Linked DNA regions of Lepisosteus oculatus. The protein of the gene in region 1 interacts with the protein of each later gene in a pairwise test. Links are inferred from orthologs where the notes say so. Each region holds a gene or a part of one and is shown in the gene's direction. Other genes may lie near its edges. The genes, in order: lnx1, trim23 and blvra.

What was found.
Region 2: the proteins of lnx1 (region 1) and trim23 interact in binary tests that used the Homo sapiens proteins (3 or more experiments, as listed by UniProt). The link is inferred for Lepisosteus oculatus from reciprocal best matches to the Homo sapiens genes LNX1 and TRIM23.
Region 3: the proteins of lnx1 (region 1) and blvra interact in a two-hybrid assay, tested with the Homo sapiens proteins (3 studies listed by BioGRID and IntAct). The link is inferred for Lepisosteus oculatus from reciprocal best matches to the Homo sapiens genes LNX1 and BLVRA.

Annotation. Positions count from the first base shown.
Region 1 is NC_090696.1:78,406,093-78,416,570, reverse strand, and holds the start of lnx1 (E3 ubiquitin-protein ligase LNX), read left to right. Parts: upstream 1-4,310; 5' UTR 4,311-4,425; intron 4,426-10,478.
Region 2 is NC_090698.1:27,872,180-27,882,657, reverse strand, and holds the start of trim23 (E3 ubiquitin-protein ligase TRIM23), read left to right. Parts: upstream 1-4,067; 5' UTR 4,068-4,256; coding exon 4,257-4,352; intron 4,353-9,434; coding exon 9,435-9,597; intron 9,598-10,249; coding exon 10,250-10,371; intron 10,372-10,478. Other genes in the region: trappc13 (trafficking protein particle complex subunit 13), read right to left, coding at 437-505, 2,944-3,028.
Region 3 is NC_090701.1:24,142,672-24,153,149, forward strand, and holds the start of blvra (biliverdin reductase A), read left to right. Parts: upstream 1-3,540; 5' UTR 3,541-3,555; coding exon 3,556-3,567; exon of another isoform or gene 3,568-3,588; intron 3,589-3,933; exon of another isoform or gene 3,934-4,448; intron 4,449-4,860; exon of another isoform or gene 4,861-5,174; coding exon 5,175-5,299; exon of another isoform or gene 5,300-5,342; intron 5,343-7,097; coding exon 7,098-7,217; intron 7,218-8,878; coding exon 8,879-8,976; intron 8,977-9,462; coding exon 9,463-9,570; intron 9,571-10,478. UniProt on the Homo sapiens protein: Reduces the gamma-methene bridge of the open tetrapyrrole, biliverdin IXalpha, to bilirubin with the concomitant oxidation of a NADH or NADPH cofactor. Does not reduce bilirubin IXbeta.

The DNA of each region.
Region 1 (10,478 bases):
CAGATTCACAGTTTCTGTAACTTAAATAAGAGTAACTATACCTGGATTGTCTCACTTACTGTACCTGTGAAAGTGTGTTCTGCAAAGCACCCTGACAATGTACTGTATTACATTAATTGTAAAGGAATAGTTTAAAAGGACAAACATTTCAGAAGAGGTCAATGAATTCATGTTCATGAACTGTATAACTCACATATAGTTCACTTGTTTGTAATAAAGATACTCAGTTACTCTTTCCTTTGTGGGTGAAATTCCCAATGTGGCACAGGCCACAGTTTACAGCTTACTGGCGTAACTTCACTTCGTCCTCTGGGCTTGGTGGGTTAGTGCTGTGGCCCAGGCAGTCACGCCAGATCTTTCTCTCAGCCTTCACACAGTCGTGTGTTGTAATGTTTTCTCAGGCAGTGAAGGAAAGCGCGTTCCCAACAACAGGCTGGGGATGTAGTTCTTATATTATGCAGAGATAGTTCTTCTCATTACTTTATACATAATGTATAAATACATTAAACACAGACTTAGCAGTTTTTGACATTTTAATATCCATTATACAAACTGACCAACAATCAGGGTGAAATTAGTATTAAGGAAAACTCAGAATTCTATAAAAAATGTATGTGTCATTTTCTCTTTTTTAAGGCTACACAAACTAGGTGAAGGACTAAGACAAATATAAAACTAATCACTTTCTACTTTAGTAATGTTCCTTTGACCTGAGTCTGACCTGAAAAGTTGCCTTTTCCTCTGTGTCAGATCACGATGACAGTTCAAGCTCTAAATTCCAACAGCTGAATATAACATTGCAGCAGCTGAATATTGAGAAAGGCTAAACCAAATTAATAAAAAAGTGACAATTTCTATAATACAATGAAAACATTTTCATAGGAATAGCAACTGCTCTTGCACATAGTTTGAGTCTCACAAAAGCAACAATAAAAATTGAACAAACATTTCCTCATTCTGTTCAAGATTATGTTAAATAGTTCACTAACTCTCTTGGGTTTTTAGCGGTCCTCATGAACATGTAATGTGGTTAAATAAAAAGTGCTTCAAAACTGAAGAGGACCTACTTCATCCTTGAGAATACCTTGAAGTACAGAACAAACCACATGGGTGAGAAACTGCTTTCCCAGATGAATTAAGGGGGGACTTTAGGGAGGCCAGAGTGGTATTCAGCCAGGACACCAAGATTAATATCCCTCTATTGGAAACAGCTTTAATATCCATGTAGTCAGGACATCAGTTTAATATCTCTTCTGAACAATCTCTTCTCATCTGGACCTCCTATACTACACTGGGTCATTGATTTGGAAATTGTATCCCAAAGGGAAGAGAGCTACCTACTGTTCCACCAAACACCACTTAAGGCAGCAGCCCAGCTTAGCAAGCCCAGCCTTTCTCAACTTCTGAGAACTGACAAGATCAGGCTGGAAGACGACATAACCCAATCTATAATTTATGTGCACTCAAACTATTATAATTTAAGGAAATTAATTTTAAAAAATCTTTATCGTGCAAACCAGTTTCAAGGATGCTTCCATAGCAACCTGACATTATATGTAAAGAGAAGGCAAGGCTATTCACAAAAGGAATGTGAGATGATTTTCAAATTTCACATGGAGTTCATAGTCCTACCTTGAGGACACTATTACACATTTTACATCTGTTTCCAATTACTGCTTGGTACAATACAGCTTCCACATTACGTGTCTCTGCACACAGAAACTGCAAGAGAAGAGCTGTATAGGACACAAACAGAATATATAATGGTAAATACTGTATATACAGTATGATCACAATACGTTTATTTTATTTTCTACTACTCACAACAAGGATTCCACTTTCTGATTCCCCACCATACAATTAGAGTAAACTACTGCATACTTCAAATTTAAAAAGGTTAAAAAAGTATATGATGTTTATTTTTGTCATTATTTATTACATAATGCACTGGTATCTGAAGGTGAGGATGTTATCGTATATATCACTTTCAGCATAATTGAAGAAAGCATTTCTATTACCGGCGTGCTGTGTGTGATCTTATCCAACAGATTCAATTTATTACTGGTGTACTGTGTGTGATCTTATCCTACAGATTCAACTACAAATTGTATTTCTTGATGGCTGTCCTGAAAAACCCTCTTTGACACGAGCCGTGAATACAAATCGTGGAAGAAACTAGACCCCTGTTTTAGTGAAGGAGTAATTTTTCCCCACATACAATATTTCAAGACAAAAAGGCCAACAAACCCCAACAATTACACAGTGGGAAAAGGTGTTTTCCCTTTTGTTCTTCCTATCTAATAATGTAAATCGGAAAGAGATCACAAACTATCACCTGAAGGTGTAAAAACTAATTTAATGCATCTTTATACAAACCATGAATCGTAATTCAACTTTATTTCCAATCCCAAATATGCCAAAGCAATTTGTTTTTGTTTTTCTGTTATGTTAAAACAGCTTTTATTTAAAAGAGACATTGCTGAAATATATCACAGAAGCATAAGAACTTAATTGCATTTTATTTGTATCTTTATTCTATCCATGTATTCTGACCTCAGAATACATGAATACAGTACAGAGACTACTGTATGTGCGATTGTTGATTCTTCATGAAGGACCCCTTGCAAAGATTTACTGTCAGTGGTTGATAGATAGAAGCGTTAAACATGGGTAAGGCAACAGCAGCAATAATGCCTTAAATCCATATATCACCTTCTACATGAAAGTGTCTCTAAATGCACAGACAGATGAAATATTCAGGACACTCGTCAACACAGTTGTGAAGCCCTTGAAAGCTCATTGAAACCCCCTTAGATCATTGTGGTGCGATCGCAAACACTTTTTATACTTCATACATGGGTCCTCAGGACCACAACGAGCAGGGAGGAGTGCAGCTGCAGTTTGTATCTTTCTCAGTGTTGTAGCTTTTGTATTTCGTGAATGAGATCCATTATAAAGGAAAGGGTTGGTGGACACCAACTCCACCTCTGTTGCAGCAGCATTCTCCAGCAGAATTCTAGCGTCTGGCCCATCTCGCTCACTTGGTAGTTAGTAGATAAGCCATCCATGCATCTCATCCAGATGTTTCCAGAAAGAAGTCAGGTATCAACTTTAACAGTACAGCTGGGCAGATTGTTCCAGACTTTCACAACAACATCATTAGCACGTGAATTAGCACAAGTTGTAACTTGCTACTTTCCAAACTGAAACGCTGAATGAATTCAGTGGCCTGGTTATGAAGGGGGGCAGTAGACAAAACCCTTCCTGCCTTCCAGAAAAGAAAAAACACCCGATAAAATTAACAAAGTAAAAAAGGTTTAAAAAATTGCAGTTCTCCAGCAGTCTATCATTTTTGGATGTAACTGCAACTCAACAGATTTTCCCCTTTTCCAGCAAAACTGAATCAAGGGGTTCAAGCAGTCAGGTTTCCCTAGAATCTAACAGCACAGTCGTAGCATGTACATATTGTACCGTATCATGTTTGCATACGATATTAATGCAATTCTACTACTCCAGTTTGGCCAACACCCTAGAAAGTGTACATACTCTGTTTAATGGTTACTGCCTGGATTCTGCCCTGCTTCGGGAAACCTTGTTTTACCCCAAAGTGTAGTGAATCCAGGTTTGATAAGAGAAACTGTAACTTTGAGGAAGTGAGATATTTTGTCTTTTAGCTGAACACAAGAAATTCAGTTCCAGCCTGAATTTTGTCCAAAGAATAATAAATGCAATTAGAGATAAAAAAGAACAGCTCAGAGAAGAAATTCCCAGGGCAACTTATTTAGCATGCCCTCACATGCCACTCGTTGAGCTGCTCAGAAGGCTCTCCAGGACCTGGCTCATTATCTTGCAAGTTCGCAGAATCCTTGATAGTGTGAATTATTAGCCCACTACCTGCCAATAAGACAATTAACGTCACTCTTCAATGACTAATGGCTGGGGAAGTCCCCTTTCAAAGCAGAATCCGAGTAGGTCCCACAGCTGAATTCCAAACAGGGCAACTAAGCCTGAAATCTGCCATTAAAACGGATACAAAAACACACAAACAGGCCTTAACAAGGCCATTTTAGTCATTGCACCAAGTCCAGAATTCATTTTCTGACTGCCTGGGGTCATGCGGGCCTACAGGAGCTTGTCATGATCGTGGCTACAAATATGTAGTTCTCGTGTTGTGCGAGATTCTGATTCGGTTACACTGGGGTCAAGTCTGTGGGAATGACAGCGGTCGTGCTGTAACCCTCTGACGTTCTGCTACACTTGTTTCAGTTTCAAGGACTAATCTGCATGACTGCTTCTCCTTGTGTGTGCAGTTGCGACCAGGAGAAAATGTGTGCCCATGCTCCTTTTAGCTAAAAAATGAGTTTAAAGGATTAGCAGAGAGGCAAATCTGTTGCGGTTGAATTTGTCTGGGTACAACTTTTAAAGGTAAGTGCATTGCAATTTGTTGCAGATTAAAGTAGAGCTATGCAGTTGTGTAACTGTACATGCACTGACTGCGACACAGCTCACCTGCTGTTAGCGTCTTCTGGGCCGAGGAAATTAAATATGCTTTATACATAATGAAAACTTAAACTCAAGGACAGTGGGCATTTGTGGGAGTGTGTGCAGGTATAGGTGGATTAGATGCTTTATATAATATACAGAATTGTTTTTGCTTTCTACCTTTTCTAAATTATTTCCTTTCTGTCCAGGACAAATAAAGCCAAATAGTTTTTAGATTAATTTCTTACTTGTGTTTTAGATTTTATTCACTCACTGAAATTCTTAACTGTCTGGGCTGTATTTCATCTAGATTAACCTTCTTCCTGTCCTTTCTTCCATCTTGCATTTTATATCCTCCACAGCGCTTTTTGTATTGAAAAACCTTTGCTATTGAGTGGGACTTTAGTTGGAATTTAGTTGGAATTAAAAAGTGTTTTAAAATCCATATTGGTGTGACTGTCTCTCATCTAGGTGTCTGTAGTTGATATAAATATTTATTTAATGACTTTAGAAAGACTTTGATAGGCCAATGTTTAATAAGAAACAATTCCTCAGGAGGCTTTCTGAATGCTGCTTGTAGGTTGGTTGTAGTTCAGTAAAAATAATTTTAATAACAACTAAATAATAATTGAAAAAATCCCTGTTTATTGCCATTTAAAAAAGCCAAGTGTTAAGACAGCAAATGTAGCACCTGTCTTGGGTCTTTCACACCTGGACTCTTGTTTCACAAGCTCATTGAGCGCAGCCTTCTGGTGCAGAGAGGGAGCCTGGCAGGGCTCTGGGGGGCTGTGTGCCCGACAGCGCAGGTCAGCTCCAGGCTGCTGCAGACGTTAGAGAAACAGAGGTTGTCATAGTGACCTTAACCCCTGCAGGAATAGGTCGAGCTATCAGTGCAATGGCAAAGGCACTTGTATCATTACATAGGATTCTTAAGCCAATGCAACCCCATTACCCGATGATGAGACCTTGTCAAAATGCAAATAAACTGGTATCTTCCTTGTCTGCTATGAACAAGCCTCATGTGGCTTCCAAGTATACAGTATGTCCGTGGGATGTTGCACTGTTCACAGCAGCAGGACTTGAAACTTTCTGTCATGCACAACCTGTATCAGTCTACCAGGGTTACTTTTCAGTTACGTGACTGGGAAGTTTCTATCACTCAGAAACAGCCCTATGAATGACATGAAAGCAACCTATCATAACGACCGTGACAGAATTACTCCTTTAGGGGTGTGGGCTGATCCTTGTCTGAGCACTGTATTTTAAGGTGCAACTGAATTGAATATCCAATGCAGGGCATTCCTGAAGCTCCTCTGTTCTGTGTGGCTCGAGTTACTTTAAGCTCTTTCTTTTGTATTAGTAGGGAAATGTTTTATACAGGTTTCAGATGTTCTGCAACACTGGGCTCTTTGTTCATTCACTGCTTTTGTGTGTGGCCACTGGCTCATAGGTCACAGAGCTACTAGAATCCATTTACTAGAATTCCAGTTAAAGCATTTTCTGGGCCTTCTTTAAAAAATGTGGTGATTATTTGTTTTCAATTGTATGTAGTACCAATTAATTATATTACATCCTTTTATGCACGCAACTAACATTTGTGTTTCTATTTATTTTATCCCTTATTTTGGTCACTATCGAATTGTTTTTAGACAGCACAATATTTCTTAAAGCAAGCTTTCGATTAGTTCTCCTTTTTCTCTCGAGTTAAAAGCTCTGCCACAGGCACAGCTTGAATGACAGAAAAAGTCATTTGTAGGTTTCTTTCAATTATACTGCCTGTATTGGGAGTCAGTGTTCAGCCAGAGCAATAGGTTCTAGGTTCTAGTCCGTGCTGAGCACACTTTAAAAGTCAAATTACAACTTTGTAGATTGTTTCCTTCTTTGTGTTGGTTTTTCTCAGATAAAGAAGATGGATAATGAAAATGTAAAATGTCAAGTGTTGACCTGTCATCATATTTTTGAGACAGAGGACTTATCTACAGGATCGTCACACACTCTGATTACTAATGGTGTTTCGAAAGCTCGAGTGCAGTGCAGTGGGTCTCTGCTGTTGTCAAGCCACAGCTGCCTCTGGCCTCGTCTCCGTGCTGGGCTGACACCCTGCCAGGCTGCAAGTGGAAACTGAATCCCAGCACCCCTGGCCAGCTACAGAAACACGTAATTGTGCTTTTCAAAATATGATGCTTTTAATTAAGGGATTATAACAAAACAATAGCTCAGTGTTTTCTTTGTCATATGCAAGCTCTTGATGTGCTCTAGACTTTCTGTCAGCCCTCCATAACTGGTCATCGCGGTCTGCTGACACTCGTTCACTCCTAACCATCTCTCTGTCCAAAACAAGAGTGTTGTAATACTCTCTACACAATTAAACCTCAGGTGGCTTTTGAGGGCCAGTAGATCACTTCCTGTACCTTTTCCTCTTCTTGTTCAGTAACCTGGCTTGTCTCTGCCTGTTTGCTCAATGTCTGGTGTCACTGCCAGGCTGGAAACAAACCCTTCATCCACAGGCTGTCTTCCCAAGAGCCCCGCGGAGCGCAGACACAATTGGAGTGATCTTGCTCTTTCACAAAGGCACCTTTGTTTTTCACTGTAACTCCACTTCTCACTGCGTGGTCTGAGGGTGCAGCCCCACACCTGCGCTCCGCCAGCTGCAGGCACTGCGCCGCGTTCATAGGCCCTCCCCTGGCCTTCCTCTTCGTCTTTCTGTGACACGCATCTCCACGGCGTCTTCCGCTTGCTGTAACACTCCTGCCCAGGGCTGTCTCACTGGTCATGTCTAGGAAACTAAGGGTTGAAACAGTTCAGGTGGGCAGCTGCGTCAGCAGGCGCAGGCTGTAAAGGAACAAGCAAAGGTTTATTCCTGCTGAGAAGAGAAGAAAAGAAGCGCAATGAAGAAGGCTCCACAGCCAAAATGGAATAAACCGAGGAATAAACCTTTACTTATTCCTTTGAAACTAAGGGTTTGTTAACTATTTTGACTCTGCATCTCCTCAAATACACCTCTTCACTCCCCTCTTGGCCATGACCACATTCGAAGAGACGCTGACATGCGCCCCAAGACACGTGCTGCTGAGAAAGCAGTAGTTTTGGACTTTGAAACACTTGGTTTTTGTTTGCCATTGGGCAGTCAGTTCCTTGGCTCCCACAATGTGAAACAGTGGTTGTAAAGGTATTACATACCTTTGTATAATAAGGTGTACAAAGGCATAATAGTACAAACAAAGGTATATGAGTGCATAATAATGAATAATATACACTTTTAACATGTATATATGTTTCTGGGAGGCAGAGCCATGTAGTGAACTTTCTTCCAATGCGATCATTCAGATTCCACGCAAAAGCTGGGCAATCTATTAGTCTTCTTTAAAATGCAATTCCTTTGTACCGATGATCTTTGGGATAAACAGACAACAGTCCCTCTAAGGGAATCTTGATGTACAGTATTTGTATGAATTTATGATATATGTATATAAAATTATTAGTTGTCGGGATACAACTCTGTTGCAGCTTTGCTAATCACAGAACATTAACCCTTGTAAAACATGGTGGCTTTGTTGGACCAATCCCTACAAAAGCATCCTCTACATCCAATTTCCAGCACTCTGTCACATTTCCTCCTTAGATTAAGCTAGGGTGTGAGATCAGGACTGCTGATCTCTTCCATTTAATGTGTAAGTGCGTTGCGTAATGCAAAAGCCAGCACTACAAAGGATTAACCCCACACATGTTTCCAGTCCCAGCTCCAGACATACAGTGTATGTGTATTTACATATATATAGTGGGTCTCCAATATGGGTCTTTGCAATACATCTATCTATACCATAGAAAAGTAAGAGAATATCTACTTTCTTTTTAAATTCTATGTGCAAATAAAATCACCATTGAGTTACGAGCTATGTCACAGAATTGTACTTTATGGTAATCCTTAGCAGTATTTTTTCTCTCTGTGGAACTGTTGACCTGTGAAGGTTATGGATTAGTATGTATGCTGTTTGATTAACAGTAGAAAAAATGGGAGTTCTTGAAGAAAAATTAAGGACTACGAATCTTTTGTCTCATTTACACTGACATGTGTCATATTAGAGGATGCAAGTGACTGTGGTGTGATGAAACAACCCAATAGTTTATCCTCCTTTCCAGCATGGCAGTCACTCATTCTGGATGAGTCTTTGAGTGATTTATGATTTATTCTAGGCTCTAAGTCTACATTTTACAGTATATGCCTTATGACTTTATGGTTCAAATATCTGCAAGCTTGCGGTGTTGTTCCCTTTGGAAATTAATGGCATATATTTTTTTTATTATTTAATCCCTTATTTTACCCACCAAACCTTATTTACAATAACAACATGCCTCAGAGGCTGCCAGAGGCTACAGCATTACAGAAAACAAAGCAGTAAAAGAAAAGAACAATCAATAAAGTATAAATAACATAACAGGACACCAAAGTGTTACCAAGTGCTTTCTCAAAAACAGAATTAGAGGCCAGCATTTAAACTAGTTTATGTGTAGGGAAAGGATATAATAAGATTTGTTGTGAGAAAGGAAAAAATGTCTGTACTTGTCATTTATTAAATTATGTCCAGTGTTGCTGGCTTAGAGATGGGGTTTTGTATTTCATTAAAATATTGTAAATATATAAATGAAGCAAAAAGCAGGACCCAGAACAAAACCTTGTGGAACTCCCTTTGCAGCTAGATGAGGCTGTGCAACTATTCCCCAAGATCACATTCAGTCTGAGAGTTCTGAGATCATGCAGGAGAGTCTATTACAAGATCAATTCTGCACAATGTATTCCCCTTAATTGAGTGATTTGCAATATCAAAAATCCTTGAATACATAAAAAAAGAAAGAAATCTTGTAGTATTTGGTGAAATTTAATTCCAGGCACACTCAAAAAAAAAAAAAAAACAACAGAAAAAGCAATGCTGTGTTTAAAACACAAAATTAATTAAACCTGCCTCCCTTCCAGTCTTTTCAGTCTCTCAATGGGGCAACGGGTTTCATTTATTGCGTTAGGTTTGTGAGTAAAACTAAACTAGAGGACAGATGGTGGAAGCTGCAGGCGTTGGCTGATACTGGCAAATGTGTTTAAATGTATTTATTTTTTTCTTTTTTTAAATGGGGAAAAAATAAAGTTCCCTCTCCCGTGTCTTTCCAGATTCACTGCGCGGTTCGCCAGCAATGGGTGCCGGCCAGGTCACAATAGCAAAAGCCCTCAGGTGATCCAGCTCGGTGAATCTACAACTAAGGCCCTTAAAAAAAAATACCTTTAGCTCAGTGGAAGGTAACCATTCGATGCGAATGCTTGGAGACTGAGGTTTTCGTAATAAATATAAAAACTGATTATTTTTGGGGTGTATCGGGAAATAAGATGTCATTTAAACTGTAGTTCTGGCTCGGGGGTTCTTGCTGCCTGCCGCTGTATCAGTCGGGTGTGAAATAACCTCAGGTCCTGAGAGTGAGTGATGTGTTCCTCGTTTTTGTTTCTTTTTCTCCGTGTCGAATATATATATATCATATATCGTTTTTGTATTTGGAGACTTCTATTGAGGGGGGTAGTTTCATTTCTTTGTGACTGCACTTTTGAGAAGGGGCATCGCGATAGTTGATGCGCTTTCCCCGCAGAGCAACAGGCAGGATGTGGACACTCGGAGCGCCGCGCCGGCCCCCACAATGAGCACATTAGCGGCTGTTTTCTCATGAAGTGATTAGTCCCGAGGGTGAAGATAGACTGGTGGGTTCTTTCAGCTTCTGTTTAGCTGCAAAGGGAAAGTGACGGGCTTCAGATGGCCCTGCCATTACCTGCAAAAAATATGTGTTGATCGGTAAACTTGAAACAATAAGCGGAAATCATGCCTGGTGTCAAAATGATTACGTTGATGTGAAATTCTGTTTTCAGTTCAATACAATATGCTTTATTGGCATGACCAGTGAGTAAAATCAGCGTTGCCAAAGCAAAACAATGGGTAAATCCCCAAGTCTGAAACACGTTG
Region 2 (10,478 bases), on another chromosome or scaffold:
CCTTTGAGAGTTTTGCTTACCAAATACTAATTACTTGCTAACCCTGCATGCAGATCATGTTGGAACCTGTACCTGTACTTATTTGCTTGTACATCACATTAAATTAGTCATGACGGAGACTAGGGAGCAGGAAGGGCCGCACCATATCACAATCCTTGGAAACTCAAATGCAAGTTTGCAACACCCTGGTGATTTACAGCAGTTTACAAAATTCATGATTTTGTGCTTAATTCGAAATTTGTAAACTTTTTTTGATCGCCAACCGTCAATTAATTTATTCTTTTACCAAGATTTAATAACTTGTCTGAGAAACTGGGACTGCGGTTCCCCTTTAAAAGACAACTCATAAGTAATTTTATTGAAATGCCTCCAACCTTCCTCCTCACTCCTTCAGTACTGTGTGTACAGTGCAGTTTGTTCAGTCAGGGTTGCGTACCTGGCAGATCTCGGTCCTCACATGTCACCGGTGTGTTTGTGAAAAGCGTTGGTTTTGTCAATCGCATCACTGCAAGAGAACAGGCATTATCAGATTAACTTGCGAGTGATCTGTCACCTTTATTAATGGTGCTTCTCTGAAAGCCTGGTCTAGTATCACACCTAAGAGAATGGAATGCACATGGGAACAACTTTAGAACAATTAAGAGATGCAACTCTTCCAATTAATTTGCTTTATGTCTGTATTATTTTGACCACTGTACCATGAAATAATTTTGAATTATGCCAATGCACATTCTTTATGTTCTCTCTAATACTCTTAAGAGTTCACAGCTGTTTCTGTAGAGAGGAGACAAGTCTTTAATGACATGCCAAATGCAGCATGTCTCTGACCAACACAGTAATTTCAGTGTTTCACCACACACCCGTTTGGAGACCGGTGATGCCATAGTGAAATGTTCTGCTGTTTTTCCCTTTTGTTTTATTCAATATTAAGCTTAAGGTTGCAGACACTAGTGGACACAAATATCCAAATCTGTTTTTCCGGCTTAAGTGGAAGAGGCAACCTTGTACAAACTTCAGCTAAACTGTCTCTTTAATACAAAATTCTCTCACACACAATAATAAAACATGGTGAAGCTCTCACGTAGCTCTCTCTCTATATATATTCCTTCTTCTTGAAATATCAATTGTAATCACTGGCATTGAAATATTCAGTTCACAAAGATTCCCATTTTTTCCCCATTGTTTCATATTCAGAAAGTGCAAAAGACCCAACTCTGTCATGCTGCTTTTCAATTGTATGGAATTTCTCTTGATACATTTTTACTTTGTATTAATACAGGACATTGGGTGGCATTTAGAGATGAGTTTATTTTTTCAAGTCTAACAAAAAAATAATTACAATAAATAGGTGAAAAACATCTATTGTGTTAGAAATCAGTTCATAGTATTAAAAATTTTTCATTCATTTTCCATCAAGACTACATGCTAAAAATGGTTCCATGTTTATGAACTACTAAATTAATTTCACCGGTTAAGTTCAACTGTTGTTTCATAAACTTTCCGATATATTCACTATACAAAATATCACAGAAAACCCAAATCTGCCCCACATCTCGTTGAAAATTTGCGTTGCAAGAAGGAAGTTTGGAATGTCTCACTGCCCTGCTCAGGACAGTCCAAACCCATTCCATGTCTTTTCTGAGGCAGTTCGATTCCTCAATTATCCACTTGGCCCTCTGCAGTGAGTGGATCTGGAGGCCTTCCAATATTTCCTGGAGCTGTCTGGAGAAAGGCAGAACTTCCTGAAGTCTCCCAGGAAGAGAAACACTCCATGACCTTCTAAACCCTCCTCCTTCTTTCGAAACACTTGCTGCGGAGTTTGGCGAACCTGTGCGCAGAGACAGCGCCCTCTCCTTGCCCCTTTGAGCTCTCGCCCTCTTAAAACCCGTGCAGAACTCCAGCAGGTCTTCTGTGCAGTCATAGCTTTGAGAAGTCGCCAAAGGAGCTGAAGAGCTCAGCTGACACCTGATTTGTTCCACCTCCTCTGGCGAGATAACTGGTGGGCGCGTTGTGGGTTTCAGCGGTAGCTTGCTGGCATCATCTGGGAACCAGGGTACAAATCTTGGCAAAGGAGCACAGGGAAAATCTTCCAATGCCCTTTCGGCTATTTCCAACACATCATGTAGGTTACCTTGACGATTCTTGTAATGCAAGACTACATCCATACTATCACTAGCTCTTCCACGGAACGCAATTACCGAACTTGGTTTCGGTGTTTCTTTAACTGACGATCCTTATGGATTTCAAGGACACCAAGAAATCTGTCACATTGGTCGGTTTCCAGTTTCCAGTGCGGGGCAGCTGAGAATACCTGAAGCGGAATTATGGTGAAGGTGTGAAAAGATCAGGTAACAATCACAGTAAAGCAGCCGAAGCCTCCATCCTTGAGTCACCGCGAATGACCAGCTCCCTAACAACTTACGCATCAAATCATATATCCCGTTAACAGCTAACTGCGCATCACCTGCAAAAAAATGAAAAGTCATCCCTCTCGTCCTTTTTTTTATAATGAAGAATTTGTTCCACATATACTATGTCTGACCCATAGTATCATTAACGCAGAGGGCATATTTATTTTAGATTTGACTTAAAACAATGTTTGGCGTTTAGAAAAAAAAACTTCTCGGGACTTTGTACGACTCTAACCATGCGAGACACATTAGTCCATTAGACTTTCGGACAATACACATATATTTTCAGAGACATAAGACTTGACATCAAACAAGGCAAAATATTATAAACTCATACATGGTTGTTTTAAATAAAGGCAATTGTCTTGGCTATCTGTTTACGGACGGAAAACCGATTGCGGATTTATGTTGGGGCCGTAATAAAGTTCTAGTCAAATTAACCATAATAATTAAACTCACTCCTTGGACGCATAAAAATATAGATCATACAATTGTTTGTTTCAATGTCAATAAAAAAACCCGAAAATATTACCTTTTAAAGCCAGCAAATGCTCTTGTTTGGCCTGGTTGACATCCATCTTCCCTGTCTGCGTGAACCTGTGAACCTTCACCTGCATTGCAGAATAGTGTACGGAGAGCAAATAGGAACAAACAGTGCGGACGCGTTTCTTTTTCCTTTTTTTTTAATTGGGGTTTTAGTGTCTCCCGGCGGAGCTTCATTAACACGCACACAGGGTACTGGGGTTCACGACGTCAGCAAATTCTGTGCCCTTATGAAAAAGAGAACAAACTCTCATTTAATGTTAATATAGAAGCATGTAATTAGCAAAAATAATTGAAGGAATCGTTATCGCCTTTCATTTAGAGATAATGCACTGTTTCATGCATGGAATCAAGTTACACGTTTGGAAACAAAAAACTACAAAGGTATTAGCTTTTCATAACTTTTTTCCATGTTGTATACATACTGTATATTAATGACTTAACAGCTGTTTACCATGCTCATGGTGAATGCAAAGGGACCTTATCACCATAGACCGTATTAAAATTGACTGGCTAGATGGAGTTTGATATAGTTGAAGTGGTCTTGAAATTGGAATTTAACATTAGAACATCCAAGCTACAAAAAAGTGCAATATCATTATATAAGGATTACAATGGCTCATTGTACACATGGCAATTGAGAATGTAAAAGTGACGTTAAAGAGAGCAAATAAAATCATATAAGAAAATTCAAATTGTTTAATGGGAAAATGTATTCTGAATTCAAACGAAAAAAGTGTGTGCACCATAAAGTGTATATTTATTTTTTTCACTGTGACACTTTCACCCTTCTTTTGCATTATTACTGCATCAAAACTTACTTCTTAACACATTACTCGAAAATTGGCTCTTAAACATAAGGGAGAAATAAAATACAGTATTTTCCGGCTGAAAATAATTAAAATGCTTAAGAAAAAACACATAAACTCGACTAAAAAAATCTTAAAATTCTTTCAAAGTCAAAGATTCCGCCTTCAAAGCCTCCTCTTCTGCTACACAAAAACTTCCTTCACCGAACCTCTTCAACGCGCAATCGCACCTGCAGCTTTCTGGAAGCTGACGGAAACAGCTGACAGGAACGTCCATTTTGCTTATTCGGGGGAAGGTGGAAGTTTTAAATAGGAACTCGGTTGTTACTTTACACACATATGTCGAGGAGATTAAAAAGACTGCTTTTAGAACTATAATTTGAGTTTTTATTTTCCTATTACAGTGCATATAAGCATTTTTATCTCGATGCCATTCTGCCTACGTGCAATCGGACCCACCTAGGAGCGGCTGGGCTGGTGGTAGAGCCCGAGGATGGCTGCTGCTGTAGGTGTAAACAAGCAGGCATCTGCAGCGGCAATGGAGAGCTGTGTTCGACACGGCCGGGCGGCTGCAGGAGGCACGGTGAAGGTGAGTGAAGCCGATGCTCAAAACGGTCAGTGACCGAAAAAGAAAACCTATTGCGACGCCCGCAGAGAGGGGTGCATTGCCGGTGACCGTGGTTGACAGTGTTGGCGAGAGAGAGCGAGTTGGGCGGTCGCTGCTGTCGTGGCTCGGATGCTGTGTTGCTAATGTAGCTGCACCAGCTTCTTTGGTGCTGATGACAGCCTCTGAAAATGCGATGTTCCCATTGTCTTTTACGTAACCCTTTAACTCAGTTTGCACACTGCAGTTTAATTCAGAAAAATATATTAATCATGCGTTATTTGTTATGTAAGTGCAGTATGACCAAGATCTCATGACAAGGGACTTGCAATTTGTGTGGCACAGAAACGCCTGTGTTGCAAAGAGGAAAGCGTTCTTTGGCTTGCTTAGACTTGTAACTAAGTCTGGAAATTTCCAGCGGGTTTAGAGCAGGCTTGCTCGCCTGCGTTGGCGTACGCATCAAAGAAAAGGCTGTACTTGAATACAATTGCATGTTTCAAAATATAGACAAATTGCACTTCCTGTGCGCATGTAAATCATTGTTTTTGTTTGTGGTTATACTTAAGATCACATATTTGACCGAGACGTAGTCACTTAAAAATTGAGTTTTGTGTATCGCACACACTTCATTGGCCAGTTTTCTTATTACTTCAATATTGCATAAAAATGTTAATAACCCTGATTTTAAGTCTATGCGTGCAGATGGCTAAATTAATTGTTTTTATTTTTGGTAACTGCATCCATTATTTTGTGTCTCTAATGTTATTATCATTAATTCAGATGTCTGATATCAATTGTGCAGCTTTCTTTTTAGTAGCAACAGAAGAATCTTGCTTACCCACAAACAAGCAATATATCGATACCGACATTACATAAAAATAAATTTACAGTTATCTAGATCTAAAATAGGGAAAGTCTGACTGAATACTGTAATCTAGTAAAGTTGTAAAATTTGTGAATGAATGACCCAACCACACTGGGATGAAGTTAATTTTCATGGTCTAATTTTTTTATGTTTGCAGAAATTAAACCTGCTCCTTGAGCATGACCATGTAAAGATGCATTTGCATGGCGTTTCTGGCAGAAATAGCATAGAGACAAATACTTTGAGCAGTAAATAAGGAATTGCAAACATCTCCTTCAGAACTCGTTTTGCTCGCAATTTGATTAAATCCAAGTTGCTTTACTCTAACGGACTGTTCTCAAATATGCTAATGTTAATATATTTCGTCAGCTACAGTATAATAATACTGCTCATTCTTGTGCAATACATAAAATGAAAAGGGTTGTATTGAGCCATCAGTTTTTTGCCTAATGTTTTTGAATTTCCAGGTAGCATTAAACCTCAAAATGTCCCAGACTTGAATGCATGTAGAGAGTATCCCCGTGCTGGACATTTCCTCTGTGTTTGTCCCCTTGTCTCCTCTCTTTGCCTGCCTGTAAAAGCTTTCAAACATTTGCACAAGAATTCTGCTCAGTGAAAAAAAAACTGTTAAAAATAGTTTTTTCCCCCTCATCTAGTAATAAAATGCCTTTGTGAATTGATTTTGTGTTCAGTCATCTTTGCTCCTCCATAGGTGTATTACTGGAAACCTTCAATATATTACACTCATACAGTATGTTTCCCATTCTTGTACCTCACTATATTTCGTGACTTCTTTAAGACACCATTCTTTTACCCTCATTCTCTATGATAAGACACCAAATGTTTTAATAGGAGACTATTCTATTACTTTTCCGTGTAATTTAAACAGATGTAATGAACAGTTAAGAAACTGCATTTTAAGAGTTGGGGGTGAAAAGAACAAAAATTTAACATTCAGGTAAAATATTAAATAGTTTTAAAACTTAGTTTAAAGCCTCACTAAAATTAGAGTCAAATTCCTATTATGTATGATAAGACCGCTTCAATATGAGTATGGTGAACATCCTATAAAACAATTTGTACTTAGTGTAAAACAACGTGAGCTTCCAGCTTCTAAGGTCATTACACACCTCTATACTGTACCTCATGCTCCTGCACAGACCTGGTTAAGTTCGACAGCTGAAAAATTTGGGCTTTTGGATACTCCTAAAGCTTTGCTGGAGCTGAAGTCAGTCTCAATCTATGTAGAAGCAGAATTCTCCTGGCCTTGATGACATTCCATCTCGGCTAGTGCAGGCTGTGTTTGATCATGTTAGTCCAGTAATATTCAATTCTAGACATCTTTCATGGAAAAACTCTTATCTCATTTTCAGATATTATTTCTATTTTTCCTAATAAAGATAAAGGTCCACAAAACTGTTCAAGCAATAAGCCACATCACTTGCTGGATTCTGACTTTTTTTTTGGCAAAAAGATCTTTTTAAGTGAAAAAAGAGGCATGCATGTGTGGCTTTGTGGGAGGTTGGTCCCATGCCACTGATGCCCAGACTGCTCCTACTTGATGATAGTTCCTGCACATCAACATCTTGATTCTTTTCTGCAGCTATAAAATCTGCCTTCCAGGACTGAGTGGAGAGCAGCATTGCTTTTAAATCATAGAGAGTTTTGTTCATTTGTAGATATACTTCTTGAAAGTGTCCAAATAGCCATTATCCTTCTTGAAAATAATTAAATGACATTGCTGAGCTCCAAGAGCTCAAATCTTGGCCCAGACAAAGGCTTTTTATAATTTACACAATATATTCAATCTGCCCCTTTCTTTTTTCTTTTTTTTCTGTTTTTTTTTTTTAGTTTGGTAGTGAGATAATGCCCCTTTGTCCTTCTTCTTCGTGTTGGGACACGCATTTCTTTGTTTTATATTGAAGCAATGTTAAAACTTAATAACATTTTGTTCACAAGAAGTCCAAAATGTTTAAATTTCTTTGAAACCAATGCAAAGCTTTTTCGGTTACTTGTGGGGGCAGCAGTTCTGTACGTAATTATTGAGTATTTTTTTGCTTGTTCTCAACCCATCAATTTGCCATCATCCTTATTAAACAGCTGCCCTCTGCATTGTTTTTATCCTACTGTCCTGCAGAACAAATATGTAATCAGATGCACAGTTTGTTTTACAGAAGAACACATTAGATAGGTAAGTTGGATCGTTTAGGAATGAATACATGCAAATGAGTGAGGTAAATTGTAAAATTAAAATTCCAGGCTCTAGATACTTTTTTATTTTTCCATGTTCATAGAGATCTGTGGTATTTTCAGACCAAATGTGGTGTTTAAGCTGCAGTAAAAGTTTAGGGAGTTAAGCAGTTCAGTTTCAGGGGAACTTTAATGTCCTGCTCTGTCTCAAAGTTAGCTGGGATTATTGGGCCATGTGGCAACCTTAATTATAACATAAAAAACAGTGTGTATGGAAATGTTTTCACCTGTTGTAGGTAATCTCAGATATTATCAGCATATGGAAGCAAAATGCTCATAATAAGTTTGCAAAACTGAGTTATTGTGCACAACTTACACTTTTATTTATATTAAAAACAAACCCTGAAATTGGGCCTGAATTGCATGTTACTGTACAGTAGGTGTTTGTTCTGGTTTCAGGACCTTCCTGTAGTGTTTAGTGCTTTATACCGGATCAGCCAGTCTGTTCAGTGGTCAACCTCAAACAACCTTCAGTTTATAAATAGTTTATTGACATATTGTTCAGTAATTAATATCTCTGTCTAAAATCTATCTAACCTTCCATTTTCTAACCGCTTTATGCAGGACAGGGTCCCCGGGGGAGCCGAAACCTGTCTCGGCAAGCAACAGACCCAAGGCAGGGTACACCTTGATGGGACACCAGTCCATCACAGGACACACACACATTCCCGCTCACACCAGTTTTCCCAGAACCCAACCAACCAGTTTGTCTTTGTACTGTGGGAGGAAATCTAAGTGAACATGGGGATAACATACTGTCCATACTCTACTCAGATAGCACCCACCCTAGCAACTGAACCCAGGGCCCAAGTGCTTTGACCCAGTAATGCTGACCGTTGCACCACTGTGCCCCCCCTCGGACTCAGATGTTTGTAAAAAAAATCCCTGTACTGTTTTATGGGTCTGGCAGTCGGTTAACTTGGAGGATTTGATGCAGTCAGTCCTATAATGTTACGTTAGAATACATAGAAAACTAATAAAATATGAGCTCCAAAGAAATTAAAAAAAGAATGTTAGTAACTGCTCCAGGGAAGCACAGCAGTCACTAGTACAAGGTGCTGTACAGCTTCAGTACACTGTACTTCTAATAGTAATACTAACCTATTTGATATATATATAGAAAATTTTCTATTTCTGACAAATAATAGAAATAATACAATTATACACTTTCCTAGACCCTTTACTTAAAGGGCTTTACACCACCCCCAATGTGCAGCACCCACCTGGGTGATGCGACGGCAGCCATAGTGCGCCAGTATGCTTCCCACGCACCAGCTGTAAGCAGGGAGGAGAACGGAGTAGGAGGCCAATACGGGGCCTCCTACCCAGGACAGCAGGGTTAACACCCCTACTCTTTATGAGAAACACCCTGGGATTTTTAATGGCCGCAGAGTCAGAATCTCTTTTTTTTTTAAGTCTCATCTGAAGGACGGTGCCTTTTTTACACAATAGTGTCTCAATCGCTATACTGGGACATTAGGACCCACACAGTCTAGAGGGCGCCCCCTCCCCAACTGGCCACACTAACACCTCTTCCAGGAGCAACACTAGCTTTTCCCAGGAGGTCTCCCATCCAGGTAGGGTCACACCTGCTGAGCTTCAGTGGGTTGCAGGGTGATATAGCTGCTGACTGATCACCCTGATTGGCTAGTCGAGCTCCACTTGGCTTTTGTCTTTGGATTCAAAGGTATTCAGTGTGAGACTTAATTTCTGTGAATTACATTCAAATACATTGATTGCACTGTCCCAGCCTATGCCAGAGTGAATCTTAAATCGGAGCCTAGGTTTTGTTTCTCTGAGATGTCTGAGCTGATAGTTATTGTGTGCTGCCCAGGAGATCTGTGGCCGCAAGCTGCTGTTCAGCTGTTAAGCTCCCGGTATGTCGGTCTGGTTGCGTTGCCTGGGATATTGGCTGGATGTTGCTTTTCATGTGGATTGTTGTGTGCTTCCAGGTGCTGGAATGTGGAGTGTGCGAAGACGTTTTCTCCCTGCAAGGGGATAAAGTCCCCCGGCTGCTACTGTGTGGCCACACGGTTTGCCATGACTGCCTCACTCGCCTTCCCTTGCACGGCAGGGCCATCCGCTGCCCCTTCGACAGACAGGTCACCGAGCTGGGTGAGCTCTGGGCTGGGTAGTTTCCATGGAGATGACAAGGCCCTGACTTGGATATTGCTTCCTGTGGCTAAATTCGCATCAGCTGGGGCATATGACCGTCTAATTATAATTCACTAACTTAATAAACTGGAGTTTGTTTTTTGTGTTTTGGAGGACAAAAAAACAAACGGAGAAAAATGGAGAAAAAAAGCTGAATTGGTATTCATAGGGTCCCATGTTATAAAATTCTAAAATAAGAAGTATCTAGAATGCCATTTAAAATCCTTTATAGATTGGAAATTCTGTTACAGAAACAGTCATTATCATCGTGGTATTTTGGGTTTAAGACTGACTGCTAACATTTAATGAGATTGGAGTTTTCTTCTGTATCCTGGGTGATATATGTGAAGTTCTAGGGGTTTACATGCAGTGTAGTGGCACTGGTCTAAAACAACCTTGCATATGTCTAAATGAAGATGAACACAGAACTGATACAAGAAACATTTTTATTTTGCATGAGAAATAAAAACATAAAGAAGCTTCCACAATATACAGGTCGCAGAATCAATTTCTTGAATTTGTTTTGATAATTTGATTCTAACAATTGTGCAACATCCTAGGATGTGGACTTTCTGTGGTAATATGACAGTTTTGAATGTGTATGTTTGTTTAGGGGATTCTGGAGTCTGGGGACTGAAGAAGAACTTTGCTCTGCTTGAGCTCCTTGAGAGACTGCAGCATGGGGCCTCTAACCAGTCAGGCATGTCAGAAGACGCCTTAGGAGGAGCTGGGGAGGTAGAAGACAGTCTGTTCACTGGGCATTCTCAGTAGTGTTAAACTCCTGAGTGTGGCATTGTGGCTATCTCTCAGGCTTTATTTTGTGCCTTATGATCTGGTAACAT
Region 3 (10,478 bases), on another chromosome or scaffold:
GAGGCCTTGAATGAGTGTGGTGTTAGATACATTCTTGCAGCTGATACAACGAGCTCTGTTGCAAGGGAAAGTGCCTGGTGTGGATGGTTGCTGAGGGCGGTCAAGGGAGCTGTGAACAAGAAGGTTACGCAGATTAGGTGGTTGACGATATGAGATGATGTTTCGGTCAGAAAAGAGAGCCCCAATGCAGGGATCATCCTGTAGGATGGAAAAATTGTCGTTAATAGCCCTGGGGATAGGAAGTGAGGGTGGTGGGGAAGCACCAAAGGAATGCGGTTGTTAAGGCGGAAATTCTTGATTGAGTTGATGGTCCAAGGGATGTTTTGGGCTCAGGCAAGGGCTCTGTCAATAACACTGCTAGGGTATCCTCTGTTGATGCTAAAAGAGTACATTTTGAGGGGTTGGTTCTGGAAATCGATGTCGCTGCAGAGTCGTCGTAGCCGAGGGAACTGTGAAAAGGGGAGAGAGTTTTTAGTGTGTTTGGGGTGAAATAAGCTATACAGGAGATAGTTGTGTGAATCAGTGGGTTTGTAATAGACTGAAGTAGAGAGTCAGGGATAGTTAATGGAGAAGTTGATGTCTAGAAACGGAAGAGTAGTGGAAGATATGTTAACTGTATATTTGAGTGACGGGTGGAAGTTGGTGAAGTTTTGTTTTTAACAGAAAAAAAAAACATTTCTGACAATTTGGTCTTTGGTCTTCATAGAGATGACTTAAGTTAATTGGGGTTTACCAATTCACCATTACAGAACTGTTACAAGAATTTGTATCTGTTTCTCAGTGCCCATCTACCTTAGGACATCTACCTTAAGAAGATTTTTGTTTTGTCTTTCCATGTGAATCCTTTTAAATATCGATTTCAGATTTTTACTGCAGTCTTCCCAGTAAGGTTCTGCTTCTCAGTGTAATGTGCTCAGTAAGTTTGCCAACAGGAGTAAGTTTGTTAAGGAGTAAACTTCTACGCTGTTGTGTGCTGGGGGTGCAGCATCATGGCAAGAGATGTAAGTAGACTCAATAAACTCATCAAGAAGGCTGGCTCTGTTTTGGGGCTGAGCCGTGACCCCCCTGGAGGTGGTGACAGAGAGAAGATTGCTGACCAAGCTCACAGCCATCATTAACAATGCATCTCATCCGCTACATGGGACTGTTATTAGACAGCGGAGCACTTTTAGTAACAGACTGCTCCAGCTACGGTGTTCAAGGGAACGTTTCCACAGGTCCTTCCTCCCGGCGGCTGTCAGGGTGTATAACACTGCCCTAGGCTAGGCTGTCTATGGACAGCATGTTGCACTAATGTAATTTTTGGACACTGCAGTAATATACTGTTTATACTGTGGTACTTTCAATCTGTATATACCTATGCACATTTTGCACAAAATCTATATTGTATTGCTTTACAATAAAATGGAGCGGTCACTATTATTATGTATCAGTGCTATGGTAGATATTTTCCAGTGAGCGGATATTACCTCTGTTTCAACAGACTTCAGGAAGAGTTTTCATTATGGTCTATGACTAACATTTGTTTCTTTGAGAATAATTGGTAGAATACTCTAGATATTTATCTTATCTGCTTCTAGTGTCTGTAATAATTTCCTGTGCTAATATTTATTAAAATAGAAATTTCTGTCATTGTCTGAGGCATGTTTTCTGTTCACATAGACGTACACAACGTGAAAAGCTTATCTGCAGAACTGAAGTAATGTTTTTCAAGGGAATGGACAGGGCCATTGTGGGTTGTGATTCACACAAGAGGAAAGGGGGACCCTGGATACAGTCCTACAACCTGACTCCCAGTCTCATAGTGGTGGCAGTTTCCCTTTCTAGCTCAGGCTGTGTGGATCTATATTATAACATTATGGAAGACATAGAAAAAGATTCTTTTAACAAACATTTTGAGAATTCCTTTTATCCTTTCAGAGGTATTGCATCCTGGCTGATATTTTTAAAGAAATAATAACATAGTAGAATGGTTGTGTGTTTTGTCAAATGAGCTTTATTTTATCTGTTATTGGGACTTGGTGAGGATTACTGTAGGTGGAAGGTCACATATGTCGAAATATGTTGAACCATAAAAACGTAGGTTGTGAGGCATGTGCTTACTTTTTCACCACATTGTATTCTGTTCACTGGCAGTGTGAGTCTCAGAGGCTCCTCATTCACAGACTGCTCTATGATTTTCTGATAGGCCCTGGCATATTCCATCCCTTCAGGAGTCTTTAAGAGTTCAGTATCCACAGTGTTCCAGGTGTGCTCTTTGTTTTGTATACCTTCATGTTAAGGATGCCGAAATGGTTCAGTATAGTTAACAACAATCTTCACATCCCAATCATCAGCTCCAGCTCATGAAATGCCATGAGTTCAGTTGCACTAGAATTTTGCTGGACTCTGCCTCTTTGTGGTGGGCAGGTTGCTTTGTGATGTAAGGATATGTGAGTCTTGTCACTATGGCAACTTTGGGTTTGCTTAATTCACTCTGGTGACATCACCCTGCATCCAGTACACTTGCATTCCATTATTTATATTTAAACAGAAAGCACGTCTCATATAACTTTATAAAACCTTCATCAACTTTAATTTCAGTGTAGTATTTAATGTGCCTGAATTCGTCACCACAACTCTGAGACTCAGCAAAAATGGGCACACATAGACACAAATATGCACACACTCACATTAGGGTTGAGCCAGTTAACTTACAGGACAGTACTAATACAGTATGTCTTTTAGGCTGTGGGAGAAAACTGGAGCACCAGCAAAAACCAACACAAACATAGGGAGAACATACAAGCTCCATGCCAATAGCAAACCAGGTCCAGAATTGAATACAGGGTCCCAGCTCTGTGAGCCAGCAGGTCTAACCACTGAGCCACTGTGCTGCCCCATCTGAACCATTTGAGTATAAATTATATCATTTAAAAAAAAATGAGGGTTCTTTCTAGAAACTTGTTTATTTTTCTTAGGAATGTTCAACTGTAATTTGAAAAACATTTTAGCACTAAATTACTTAAAATTAAAATTTTTACATTTTAAATTATATTATTAGAATTTTATGTTGGCATTATGACTGTTTTGTCTTAGAACAAAAATAAGATGGTATATAATAAGAGGTGATGGGTTGATTTTGCTTAACATTACAATTAGGTGTATGATCAGAGCAACGTTGTTCGTTAAAATTACTTAAATAGAATTGTTAAATCTGCACAAATAAGGTATTGGTGTGTCAATATTCAATTTTACAACTTAAAAAAATATTTTTCATATACCGTATGCCCTTTTAAACTAATTCCCTTTCATACTTTATTAGCAAATGTAGAAGTAGGATGCTGTTAATTATTGATCTGAATATACAGTACATATGAATTTAAATCTTAACTGTTACAACTGCTGGTGACATAAATATTTTAAATTTCTACAAAATGTAATGAAACAGATGAAAGCCAGAAGAGCCCTGATAAAGAGTGTTCTCAGTTCCTTTCTCTGTCCGGCCCAGCTTACTCCTGTGTAGGCTGTTCTCTTGCCTTCACACAGGTCAGTGAAGCTCCTCTGGCAGCCTGGATGCCTGACCAGGTGGGGTTTAGGTTCTCTGGCCTGAGAAAGAAACATAAAAGACAATATTTTAATGGCGCATGAATCTTCCTTTTATATCCTGTTTAACTGAGCATCTGTAAGATTGTAGGATGCACATAGGCCTTGTCACATGAGAGTGAGCAAAACCCATGTTTTCTGACTTTAGTTGATAGATACTACTGTATAAAGAATTGGAGGTGTTTTGTGTAAACGAGGTCCAGATCAAGGGCTACATTAATTCACTGATTATACAACTGGACTTTGGTGGTGTAAGAAGACACTGGTTGAATGTACGTCAGAAATGAAAACAATTGTGTGTAATAAGATCGTTTTGTGCATGTTAGGGGAATCTCTGTTTCTACTCACCCTCCTCTTTGTAGTTAGCTTTCCAAACAACTTGCAGAAGAGGCTCAGTAAACCTAACTGCTCAAGCAGGAAGACTGTGGGGCTGCACAGGTCCTTCAGTTTACTCAGTATCAAGGCGTCTCCTTCCAGTGGTGGGTCAGTTATGGGTGTTATTTTGTTCACTGGCAGTGTGTGTCTCAGAGGCTCCTCATTCACAGGCTGCTCTGTAATTTTCTGATGGGCCCTAGCATATTCCATCTCTTCAGCAAACATTGTCATCGTCCTTAGGAGCTCAGTATCCACAGCGCTCCAGGTGCGCTTTGTGTTGTGTACATGCACATACTGTAGCCTCCCATAGTAAGGATGCCAAAAAGGCTTATTATAGTTGCCGCAGTCTTCATCTTCCAGACTCCTTCCAGTCATCAGCTCCAGCTCATGGAATGACATGAGTTCAGTTGCACTAGAAATGATGGTGCGTTTCATCTCTATGGTAACTCTGAGTTTGTTGGATGCACTTTGATGACATAATCATGAATCTGGCCCATTTGTTAAAAAAAACCAATTATATTTATTTATTTTTACAGTATGGATATAATCATAATTCTTACAATTTTTGTTAATATCAAAATATTTTAATGTAAATGCAGAGTAATGGCATATCAGTACTCATGTGTTTAGTTTACATAGAGGTACACTTTTTGGACAGCTGGTTGGATAGAATATTCCTGTTCCACAGAACTGAACTAAAAATACACCCCCAGAAACGTTGATCTTGGGGGTGTATTTGACTCTTTCGTTTTAAAATACTTAAATGTGAGGTAATATTATTTATTATATTATTTATATGTTATTATTATTAAAATGAATAACCTGTTTCTCTTTTTGCATAAAGCATTATAAATGTAAAATATTGTGGTGTTATTTTTAGAATAATTCTAATAAACCTACCTCTCTGTCATTAACCGTTTTGCTCCTTCCTAATTCAGTCCCTTGTTTGTAATTATCTGTCCTCTCATGTTCTCAGTCGTTCTTATGATGTTTGCTTAGTCCTTCTTTCTATTCATTGTCCAGTGTCTTGTGCAGTTACAGTTTTGTGACAGAAGCCACGTACATGAGGACAGTTTAGTTTAGTGTACATATGATTGTAGTATTGTCAAAATATATGCATAAAGAGTATACAATTTGTAATGTTTTACGGTGTCACTTTTTTACACTTACGTAATTCTTTTGGAACTAACTCCTGTCTGTCTGTTACTCTGCAGGGAAATATGATTGGCACAGTGGTAGTGGGGATTGGAACTGCAGGCAGAGTGAGGATCAGGGACCTCCTTTCTCCTCTCCCATCCAGTCCATCAGAGAAGTTGAGCCTCAAAGGCTTCATATCCAGGTGAGCTGGTAGTTGAAACCTTCAACATCCTAAACGAAGGGTTCTGCATAAATATTGCAGGACAAATGTGATTATTTCCATTATCCATATCCATTGTCTTGAGAAAATCTCTTTCTTCTTGAGACAGCTACACAATGTGAAGAACTGAAGTAATGTGTTTCAAGGGAATGGACAGGGCCATTGTGGGTTGTGATTCACACTAGAGGAAAGGGGGACCCTGGATACAGTCCTACAACCTGACTCCCAATCTCATAGTGGTGGCTGTTGGGTCCTGTTTCCCTTTCTAGCTCAGGCTGTGTGGATCTATATTCTAACATTTTGGAAGACATAGAAAAGGATTCTTTTAAAGCCACTTCTAGTAGCTTCTAGTAGCTGCCATAGCTACATTTACTGTATTTGGAATAGGTTTTCTCACTATCATAATGGTGCTGGATGCCAGGCCTGAGAGCCAGGTATGAGCTTTACTGGCAGAATTATAGTATTGCAGGAAGGTTAGTTTTTGTCTTGTGCTGGAGGACTTCAGTTGTAAATTGATCTCAAGAGAAACTGAATGTCTGAAATTGCATGTGGTCATAACACCAGTAAGCAAAGAAGACTGAAGCTTCACCATTTAATCTACACAGTTTTCCAATGTGAGGTAGAACACTTTTTGCTGTTAGTAATTTTAGAAATGTATTTTTTTAATTAAACATTTTCAAAATGATTATAGTAAGTCTTGCTATAATGCATGTTTTCACAGTGCATATAAAGCAATACATTTATAACATATAACATAGTTTTTAAACTATTTTTACAACACAAGTGAGAGTTGTTTACAAGTTAATTAAACTTATATCGAATTAACAGAAACATGCCACTCACAAGTATTAAAATGGTTGTGTTGATACCGTTGCACAGCATGGTAAACTAATGTAAAATAACATTTCAGGAAATTTTCCTGAAGTTTAAAATGGTCTTGAATTAAAAGAATTTTCACTTTAAAACTCCCCCTCCTCCACTGCTGCGTCTCATATTGATTAACAACGAAGGCTGCTGGAAGAGGTGTTAGTGGGGCCAGCAGGGGGAGCTCACCCTGCGGTCCATGTGGGTCCTAATGCCCCAGTATAGTGACGGGGACACTGTACTTTTGGTGCCGTCCTTCAGATGAGATGTAAAACCGAGGTCCTGACTCTCTGTGGTCATTAAAAATCCCAGGGCGTTTCTCGAAAAGAGTAGGGGTGTAACCCCGGTGTCCTGGCCAAATTTCCCATTGGCCCTTACCAATCATGGCCTCCTAATAATCCCCATCTTTGAATTGGCTACGTTACTCTGCTCTCCTCCCCACTGATAGCTGATGTGTGGTGAGCGTTCTGGCGCACTATGGCTGCCGTCGCATCATCCAGGTGGATGCTGCGCATTGGTGGTGGTGGAGGGGAGTCCCCATTACCTGTAAAGCACTTTGAATGGAGTGTCCAGAAAAGCGCTATATAAGTGTAAGCAATTATTATTATTAATTATTATTATAATGTCTTGTGTGCTTTTTTCAGTTTTCATGGTTGTTATTCAATTAGTAAATGATAATCACAATGACTCCTAAGAACATTAATTGAAAATCATATAAAAGAATACCAATCATGTTGAGAGTTTTCTAGGCATATTTTGTATACTTGTATATTTAACAGTGCTAAACGTAAGGGTTAGGTCTACAGTAGGTCTTTGTTGCTCAGCTCTGCTCAAGTTAGAAAATTAGTTGATCATTCTTTACCCCTTTGTGTAACAATGGTATTCCCTCAGACAAAGTGCTATTGTCTTCCTCTAGGAGGACTTTGGAAAACCAGCAGGACATACAGCAGATATCTCTAGATGAAGCCCTGAGCCGAGAAGATATTCATGCTGCCATTATCTGTACGGAAAATGTGTCCCATGAGGAAAATATCAGGTGAGTTCTTTGTTCACACAGAAGTTTCTTTGCCTTATTACTTTCATTATAAATAGCAAGATAATGTCTTAATTCAGTATTTTATGAAGGTATTTTCATATTTTTAATTTGCTGTCTGTCATGACTATATATGCATGTACAGTAATTATGCTGTATGTAATGTATATTACATGTATAGTATACAGTATAGTGTTTACATACTGTATATAACTTAAGTCTTAGAATTCCTGAATGCAGCACAGTTATTTTTCTAAATTACCACTAGATGGTAGCCAAGAAACATTTTAAAATTCCTACAACAGCAATGACTGTGATCTTGTTCAGCCTAAACACAGCCTTTAATTCCTTGTTTGAACTGGATTAAAGATGAATAAGCCCTCCAGATGACGGTAGGATAAACCCTTATAAGAACTCTGTAACACAGATTGCTACTCAAGCAGAAACACTGTATTGACCAAACATTAAATTACTCCATGTATGAAATTAATGGTCATTTATTTTAAACATCATTAAGGATCAGGGCACATTTAGTTGTGCACTTTACATAATCCTTCAGTTATTATCTTTTTATTATCTTAAAACTAGTTTTAAGCTTTAGGTAGTTTTTAATTTCTGAGCTGATAAAAACACAAATGTAAATTGTTAGTTGAAATAGAGGAGCTTTATTCTGGACGTGGAATGATGACATTCCAGAAGGCATTAAGCTTTTGTTGAAGTGAGTGTGACACTGAAGGTGGAAGTGGGATTGTCAGACAGCTTGGAGGACCATGTAAGATCTGTGGTGTGTGAAACACTCATCGAGGATCAGTCTTTTCTTGCGTTTTTCACCAAGGAATATTTGTAACAGGACTGTTGGTAGCACTCAACAAAATTAACATTGGGACAGGCATCGGAAGTAAAAATTTGGATTTGACAGTAGCTGTGTGTTACTTTCACTGGCATCTTAGTGGCTGCAATTTTATTAATTTTAAATTATAAGTATGTCATGAAAGTGAGTACACTACTTCATCTTTTAATGGATTCTATTATACTTCAAGTAGAAATAAACCACAGGTGTTGTGGTATTTTATACATCTGGCACAATGCTGTAATTGTTAGTAAACATAATAAACCATAGTTCTTAATTAGATATTACTTCACTTCAGTTTTAATGAAACTTTCAGGATATTTTCAATATTTTGTTGTTGTTTTTTTGGTGGGAGTGTGAGAAGGGTTCACCAACTAGCTCTGTCAAGCACCAGAGCACCAGTCTCAAATTGGCCTAAAAAACATACTGTAAAATTTGGGTCTATTTCTGAGGTATGTCCCTTAAAAGTAAACGTGCAATGCCTTTTTTAAATCAACCAGGATTATTGCTGTTTTTTTCCCTTAAAGTACCAAACAAAGACAATTCCTAACATTTCAAAAAAGTCTTTATGTTTTCAGGATCAGGTGGTCAGAGCCACAAATGATCACTGTTCTGTTCCTTCTACATTTTCAGGAACTGCTGTGGTGCTGTATAACTTCGAACCAAAAAAATCAGTTCTTTTATTAGCATTAAAAAACAGAGAACTGCTTTTTTCTCTCCTTGTTAGAAACTGTGATAAGAGTGCTGGGATGGGATTGTAATGGAAATGTGTTGAAGTGATTTCTTGGCCACCTTTTCTTCCTTCCACCCACAGAAAGTTCCTTGAGGCTGGAAAGCATGTTTGTGTGGAGTATCCCATGACTTTATCTTTTGCCTCAGTGAAACAGCTCTGTGAGCTAGCTGATAAAAAAGGTGAGTTAGGTTTGGGGAAGGGCAAGATGCACTCATTGAGCAGGGCCAGGTGTTCACTTTCCTTTGTGTGGGGTTTCCATTCGGATGTCACAGTAGCTGTGTGTTACTTTCCCTGGCATCTCCGTGGCTGCATTTCTTCCTGTAATTTTACTTATTTCCTTCCTGTAATTGTATTTGCTTGCTGTGCGCACTACTTTTTCTAGATCAATGTCTTACAATGTTAATGGCAAAAGCTGTCATTTTTAGAGGTGAATTATTGCCATACTGTGTGTTCATTACCTTTTGGGGAAAAAAATGATATTTACAAATCAGACAAATCCGTTATTGTAATAATGGTATGTGAACAAAAAAAAAATGAAAATCTGTACACAGTAGACTTATGTCTTTCATCTTCTGGTGACGCTTGAAATCAGCAGGGAGGCAGGCCCAATTAAGACTTATTCTTGCAAGGTGCCCTAACCTCTCTCTGTCCTCTGTGTTGCACAGGGAAGATCTTGCATGAAGAGCACATTGAGCTGCTGACAGCAGAGTACAAGCAGCTGAAGAAAGATGTGACTGGGAAGAACCTAGTGGAGGGAACTCTGCACTTCACAGGTCTGTGAAGACACACACGTGACCCAAGTTTCTGGCTGTAGGATCAGCAGAGCATTGCCCTCATGGTGTATTTGAAGTGCTTCATCAAGTAGAGATAACAGAACTGGTGGGAAAATACTGTATGTGTGGGTGTTTTTTTTAATTGACCCCATTTGGTTTTCTGAAGTTGAGTCCTTCACTCATTGGTTCTTAAAACGAAGGGGTACACTACAGTACCAGGCCATATAACTACTTCTACATCAATGACTGTGACCCAAGTGATATAGATATTTGGCTATTTGTTTTATTGTGGACAAACATGGGTGGCCTTCAGATCCTGATTGTTTTATTCCTTGAAATATCAGCTAGACGTTGCCCCATCATCTTTTTGATTGAGTAGCCTCCATATTAAACGTTTAAAAAGGGCATTCCTCTGTAGTATATACTGAGTATCGATTGAACCAAATCTGGTTTTGTTCATTACACATACAATAAGCGATCATACTGTAACAATAATGCATGGAAAATATGGTTTGCCTGATCAAATCCCATTATTAACTAAATGACCCTTCCAGTAAGGAATTGTTCTGATAGTTCTTTTTCAGTAATCGCGTCTGGCCTTGTGTCAAGACTGACACTAACTGCCTCCACTGTAGTACCTCTAGCATAAAAACATACAGTAATAAAGATTTCAAATGAGAGGAGGTGGTTCGGCCCATCAGACCCATTTGGTAGTTAGTAGTTAATTGATTTGAGGATCTCACATAGCCATTTCTTGATAGAAACTAGGGAACTGCCTTCATAACAACCTACGGGGTAAAGAAAGTGCTCCTATTCTCTGTTTTAAATGCACTTCCACACGGTTTCCATTTGTGCTCTCTGGTTTAACTTTCACTATTATGAAGAAATCTGCTGGGTTGAATTTTTCA